Kluyveromyces lactis: one gene and its partner. The protein of the gene in region 1 interacts with the protein of each later gene in a pairwise test. Links are inferred from orthologs where the notes say so. Each region holds a gene or a part of one and is shown on either strand. Other genes may lie near its edges. The genes, in order: SCS22 and OSH3.

Region 1 (3,091 bases):
ACTGTGCTGCTCATTTCACTCCTAATGCTGGTGACAAGACCGTGTTGAAGTTCGAGGATGTAATGAAAGTTGATTTCGGTGTCCATGTTAATGGTTATATCATCGATTCTGCGTTTACTATTGCATTCGATCCACAATACGATAATTTGTTGGCTGCTGTGAAGGATGCAACCAATACTGGTATTAAAGAGGCAGGTATCGACGTTAGGTTGACTGATATCGGTGAAGCTATTCAAGAAGTGATGGAATCGTACGAAGTGGAAATTAACGGTGAGACACACCAAGTGAAACCATGCAGGAATTTGTGCGGCCACAACATTAATCCTTATTCGATTCATGGGGGTAAATCTGTGCCAATTGTCAAGAACGGTGACAACACAAAGATGGAAGAAAACGAACATTTCGCTATCGAAACTTTCGGGAGTACCGGTCGTGGGTATGTTATACAAGAGGGAGAATGCTCTCATTATGCTAAGAAACCCGGTTCACATCCAACACCATCCCTATCGAGTGCCAAGAATCTATTAAAGGTTATTGATGAAAATTTTGGAACTATACCGTTCTGTCGTCGTTACTTGGATAGATTGGGCGAAGACAAGCACGTATACGCTTTGAACACATTGGTGAGGCAAGGTATTGTAGAAGACTACCCACCATTGAACGATATTAAGGGCTCATATACGGCTCAATTCGAACACACCCTTATCCTACATCCTCACAAGAAGGAAATTGTCTCTCGTGGTGACGACTATTGAAAGATACCATAAGACTTGTCGTAGTCAATACATAACAAACGCTACAACATATGCATATCTAGGTAAATTCAGTTTCGTTTAAATAGAATATAAAGTATAAAAGAACTGAAATCAAACCGTGCACTGTTGGTACCTCAAAAGATGCTTAATGCTCTTAGTGAGAGGGAAGTCTGTGTCGACTGCTCGCTGCATGATAATTACGTAACGAGGTTCAGTGCCCATTTCATTTGTTGTGGTTACCCTCACACATAAATACCCGAATTTGACATTTTGCAAACAAAGAAAAGTTGAACTAAGCGATTACAATTAAGAACAGAGAGACTTAGTTTTTGGCAGGATTTACAGTGATCGGTTCCTAGGTTAATTGTTCGAAGATTATCAGGTACGGTTATCTAATTCGTTTATCTTTCTATTTGGGATTTGTTATTTCGTTAGATTCGGGAAGTCTATTAGTTTTCCAGCTCTAACACAAGTGTGTATAAACTGTTTCTCACTATTATAAGTTTACAATGGTTGAAATTACTCCAAGTGTATTGGAATACAAACGTATGTGTCGCTTTGAGCAGTGGTTTAAAGGGATTAAAAACCACTTTACTATATGATCAGTTACAAAATATGGTGTTTAGCATTTGAAAGTGTACTTCGTGTGGTCAAATGTGTGGCCATATTGGCTCACTTTTCTTGCATGAGAGACAAATAATGGGATGAATACTTAGAAGGATTACAGGGATTCTGATAGATGTTCCATATCCTCAACCACATGGAATTATTCTCCGATGCTTAGATACTCAATATTATGTTTCTGTTATTATGCATTCGATATACTAACAAGCTTCCAAATCATTATTTCAATGTTTAATGGGATCATTTTTGCGATTCCATTATTCAATGTGATTTACCTCTCTGTTTTCGTAATAGCACCTTTCACTAGCCAAGCAGCTGAGCATATTACCATCAAGAATGACTCAGAACAAACAATTGCCTTTAAGGTGAAGACCACAGCTCCTAAGGTATACTGTGTAAGACCTAATGCCGCTTTGGTGCCAGCCGGTGAAAGCGTTGATGTTCAAGTGATTCTTTTAGGATTGAAGGAAGAACCTACACCAGATTTCAAATGTAAAGATAAATTCTTGGTTATAGCTTTGCCAGCTCCTTACGATTTAGGTGAACTGAGTGTGGCCGAAGCTTGGCCTCAATTGGAAGCAGAGTTCAAGAACAAGGGCCTGTCAAAGAAGATTAAGGTAAATTATCAACTAGATGCTGAACCAAGAGTCGTGGAAAATCTAGAAACTGATAACGTGCAAACTGAGACTGTCATTCCTTCAGCCAAGGAAACTATTGCTAGTGGTTCGAAAGCTACAGAAGAGTCCGCTAGTGAACCGGTACAAAAGAAATCTGTCCCGGTTGCATCTGCCAATACTGACCTGGATACTGAAAAGCCAAAAGTTGTGGAAAGTGAACCAAAGCTCGATGAAAAGGTCAAATCTGATACCAGCGCTAACACTGAAATTATTGCAGAACCCGCTAGTACGTCGAATATTGCACCGGCCGTGGTCATTTGGATCGTTATAGGTTTCTTACTTTGGTATTGGTTATCTTAGGATACATTCTGATTAAGTGAGGGAACTATCAACCATCGTATAATATATGACAACATATTTCTCGACTTTGATAGAAATGTTGTTATGAATTATATTCGTATTTCTTTTCTTATCTACGTCTGTTTCTTTTGTTTTAATTACCCCCGTACTTTTTAACCTGTTTGTTCTTTTCTTTGCAGGATTTCTTCATGCGGCTAAAATCATTCTTCATTATTGTTATTGTATTATCATTACAGCCATTAGTACTATGTTTTCCCCTAGCCAAGACATTGACAAGATATTTGAGTTAGTATTGAAATTGTTCATCTTGTGACACAGCTGTTCTTTTCATCGTTGTTTCGTTGAAACAACTCATTGAAAACAAAGGGAGACGAAAGATATTGAACTAATTCTCCTTCAAATTGATCCCAATATACTCAGCAACCGTCATTGATACTTTTCTTTCTGGCTCTTTTTACATCCTTTTTTTTTCTTCTGTTTATAGAGGCTCTTTTGGCAACTGTCCTATATTCAATTTGTCGCATGCCATCAAATGATTTCTCAATTGCAATGAGCTGGACAAGGTACTATTTGGCACAATACCACCGACCCTTGTCTTTAACTAGCTACAGGTACAACGATATCCACTGAATACATGAAGTATATATATTTGTAATTCCAATCACATCGATACGATGTCAGCACTCAACTCTGCGTGGAAAGTCCAACTATTAGTGAGTAAAAATGCACGCTTGA
Region 2 (4,345 bases), on another chromosome or scaffold:
AGCATTAACTAACTGATCGGTATAGCTCATCGCTTGAAAGAAAGTGTCTTGTTATCCATATATCTAGTTCCTTTTCACTTCCAACCAAAAGCATCTATCACACTCTACCCACTACCCACTATGCATTTGATGTACACTTTGGATGCCCAAGGCAAGAGAATCTATACTTTGAAGAAGATGACTGAGGATAATGAAATTACAAAGTCTGCTCACCCTGCTAGATTCTCTCCAGATGACAAATACTCCAGACAAAGAGTTACTTTGAAGAAGAGATACAACCTTTTGCCAAACTAAGGTCCCTACAAGTTGGAACACAATCCGCAGACAAAATTGCACCGGTTAAAACTCACTGAACATGAACAAAAAAAATTAATCCATTATTATCTGTAAATTAGAATCAGTACGGTCCTGAAACCGACTATAAAAAGGCGTATGTATATACGTACATACTACATCACTTAAGTAACTGCTTTTTTTTTTTAATAAATTCTTCTCGTTAGAATATATGTGAGACCTTACAATGGGTCCTGTTTCTTGGAAGTTGCCTGCAACTGGAAATCAACAGATTCTCTATAGTTCTCACACATTTGTGACATCAGTTCCAAATTCTTATTCTTGGTGTTTACCCTTCGAAGCTCTTGGTTTAGTATCACTACACTCTGGTTCAACCTTTCGACATTGCCAATGATTCTAGCCAGAATATTGCTTTGAACTTTCTCATACGGGTTTTCCATGGTATGTATCACAAATATAACTGATGACGGATAGTTATACACCAGTTTTGTAGCCTCTAGTGCCTGTGTTTTCCTTGTGGTTTACATTTTTGACCGATGTTTTGCATTTGAATACATGTTGGATGCTATTATAAACCTTTTTTTTTTTTTTTTTAAATGATGAAAATTAGTACCTGCCCCAAAGCAGCTTCTCAGTGAAAATGAATTAAAAAAAAGCTTGAGTATAATAAACTAAACCTTTAATTTGAAGTAAACAAGGATCCAAATTTCATCTATAACAGACTTCTAGTGTGCGTTTCGAGCTTTTGGCGGGCATCATATATCAATTTGGTGATAATTGCTGGTAACGGATATTGTCAGTTAAATTTCACCTGTGAATAATTACCATTCTTACTGCGTGCCTATCAGGTGTTTGTTGATCTTTTCCCCTGGTTAATCTCTCTTATTCAGAATTGATTTTTCAGCGAATAACCGACCGATAAAGGTAGATTGGAACGTCTACTTAGTTTCGAGAGTGATTCAATTGTAACTATTAAATTTTTTTCGGCATCAAACATGGATACTATTGACGTTCAAAATAAATCATTTGTTGTGCGTTGGCAGAAAGTTTCTCAAGGTGATATAGTTTCGTTTCGGTTGAAACCTTTGAAAAAATCGATAGGGTTTGGTATATACAGACGGTTTGGTGGATCATCCACGACTGATTTGAGTGAAACAAACCATGGGAGTGTAAAAGCTTCTTCGAATAGTAATACTAATCCGTTAATTCGAATTTCAACCGATGCCAAGCCTAACGTTGCCTTGGCAGATCACGAAAAGGACAAAAACGTGCCGTTGCAAACAAGGTTAGCACAAAGCGGTCTGGAAAAGGTGACCTGGTATGGGACCATTTCTAACAACGATACCGTTGCCGAATCGTTCGAATCAACTTGTGAGAGTTGTTATTACGCGTTCATTTTAGACAATACTACTTCGAAGCAGACTAAGAAAAAATGTTTATTTTCGGTGAGTATCAACCCTAGTGCATCGGCAATGGAAGGTTTGGATGACGATCAGGAATCCGTCATTTCAAACCAAGAGGAAAGCTTTGGTGCCAATGGGACGAATGGCAAGCGACCTTTGAATTATAGCCAAACGTCATTCAAGGATCCATCTTTGTCCTCATTAGCAAAATCGAATTCCAATCCATTTGCGCCATCTCCAGGCCAGACTACTCCAAGCACAATTTCCAACGTGGGTACATCTAACGGACCAAACACTAATTCTCCAGTGCCAATAAAACCACTGAGTCCAAGTTCTACATCCGCGACAGATCACGATTTGAAAAACAGTAAAGGATTCCAAGGATATTTACTAAAAAAGAAGAGAAAGAAGCTACAAGGTTTTACCAAACGGTTCTTTAAACTCGATATAAAATTTGGGATTCTCTCATATTATCTCAACTCTAAATCTCCTGTGTGTCGTGGTGAGATTGTTGTCCCACTTTCATCAATAAGTGCAAATAAGCAAACTAAACTTATTATCATTGACTCAGGCATGGAGATCTGGGTCATGAAAGCTCGTGACGAAAAAGATTGGGAACTTTGGATTTCAATGATCGAGTCATGTTTCAAACAAGACGCCCCAACTACTTCGCAAGATCACGAATCGCATAACGTTGTCATTCCTCCTGATAATGATACCACAGCATTTTTCCGCAATTTAACATCCCTAAGGAAAAGAATAGAAGAATGCAAGTATCAATCTTTATCCTATTCTAACTACACACCTAACGCAATAGTATCTCCCATTCAGGGCCCTCCGACATCTTCAAAGCAACAGAGGAATGTGTCACGGTCCTCGTCTGTTTCTTCATTCATGAACTCCTTTTCTAGGCAACGGAACGGTTCATTTGTAGAACAAGCTACCTCAGGCCATGATACTTCGATCTTATCTAATAATCCCAACGAGCCTCAACATCATGACTTATATAGAAAGCTAGCTGATTTGGAGAAAATTGCCAAGCAACTTGATATTGATGGTAAGATGTTAGCTACTAAATGGGTTCCCAGATCGCCAACTGCTTCCATCTTTTCAGATGACGAATATTTCGATGCAAATGAAGAACCTATCATCACGATGTTAAATGACGATGTGGCCTTTGAAACCGATATCAGACCAATATACAGCTCTTATAATGACGAGGATGAAGAGGAGGAAGGCGAAGGAGAGGAGGAAGAAGAAGCTGAAGAAGAAGAGGAGGAGGAAGAAGATGAAATGACAACAACAACAACAACAACACCAACTAGTAATGAATTAATGACATCAACAGATAGAAAGACTATAGAAACAGCAACATCGAGATCTCAAGATCTATCACCATTACCAATCAACAAAACTATAAAGCGCAGAAACGATATCGCAATACCAGTATCAACCCCACCAAGTTTATTAGGATTCTTACGGAAAAATGTCGGTAAGGATCTATCCAGCATTTCAATGCCGATCAGTTTAAACGAACCCGTATCTATCTTACAAGTGCTATCCGAGGCATTCGAATACAGTTGGCTTTTAAGCAAAGCTGCCACAATGGAAGACGACGAAGTTCAAAGGTTGAAATACATCAGTGCATTTGCACTGTCATACATGTCCATTCACAGACAAAAGACAAGATCACTACGGAAGCCATTCACCCCATTGTTGGGTGAAACGTATGAACTAGTACGTGAGGATATGGGTATCCGATTAGTTTCAGAAAAAGTGTGCCATAAACCACCTATTTTTGCATTTTACACAGAACACAGGGATTGGAAATGCTCATACACCGTAACACCGGTTCAGAAATTCTGGGGGAAATCCATCGAATTTACCAACGAGGGAGTATTCGAACTAACTTTCAACAACATCGATGCTAAATACAGATGGTCCCAACCTACCATCGTATTGAAAAACATCATTGCTGGTGAAAGGTACATGGAACCCAGTAACCAGTTCTCAATATCAACGTCTACGAATCTCAAATCCATCATTGCATTCAAAGCTGGAGGCATGTTCAGTGGAAGATCCGAAGACGTCGACGTGAGTCTTGTCAACGAGAAGGGCCAAAAGCTTGGATCCCTCAAGGGACAGTGGACCAAAGAGGTCCGAGATCTCGATAACGGCCAACAAATTTGGAAATGCGGACCGTTAGTGGAAAACAGTGAAAAGAAATACGGATTCACCGTTTTTACCTCCAACTTGAACGAGATCACAGAGACAGAAAAGGATCATTTACCACCAACTGATTCCCGGTTGAGACCCGATATTCGCCTGTATGAAAACGGTATCATTACAGAGGCTGAACAAATGAAGCTGTCACTGGAACAAAAGCAACGTGAAAGAAGAGATAAGGGCGAAGACGCACAACCTCAATACTTCAAACAGATTAAACCCATGAAATGGCTCCCCGTTACTGGTGAAAATAACTACTGGGAAAGAAGAAAAAGGCACGATTGGAGCAACACCAAATCTTTATGGTGAAAGAAAAAGGTAAAAAAGCACGTTGCCATTACATTCGGCCGTTACTATCTCGGCCACTCATCACTCCGCATAGTGTCAAAATATGTATAATAAAGTGTCAGATTTAAATAACC

The links.
Region 2: the proteins of SCS22 (region 1) and OSH3 interact in a protein complementation assay, tested with the Saccharomyces cerevisiae proteins (2 studies listed by BioGRID). The link is inferred for Kluyveromyces lactis from reciprocal best matches to the Saccharomyces cerevisiae genes SCS2 and OSH3.

The regions. Positions count from the first base shown.
Region 1 is NC_006041.1:623,272-626,362, reverse strand, and holds SCS22 (phospholipid metabolism-regulating protein SCS22), read left to right. Parts: upstream 1-1,531; coding exon 1,532-2,356; downstream 2,357-3,091. Other genes in the region: MAP2 (methionine aminopeptidase), read left to right, coding at 1-755. UniProt on the Saccharomyces cerevisiae protein: Acts as an endoplasmic reticulum (ER) membrane anchor for cytoplasmic proteins via binding to the FFAT motif of targeted proteins. Regulates phospholipid biosynthesis by modulating the subcellular localization of the transcriptional repressor OPI1.
Region 2 is NC_006039.1:1,465,694-1,470,038, forward strand, and holds OSH3 (oxysterol-binding protein related protein OSH3), read left to right. Parts: upstream 1-1,289; coding exon 1,290-4,232; downstream 4,233-4,345. Other genes in the region: snoRNP complex protein NOP10, read left to right, coding at 121-294; DAD4 (Dad4p), read right to left, coding at 516-734. UniProt on the Saccharomyces cerevisiae protein: Lipid transport protein (LTP) involved in non-vesicular transfer of lipids between membranes.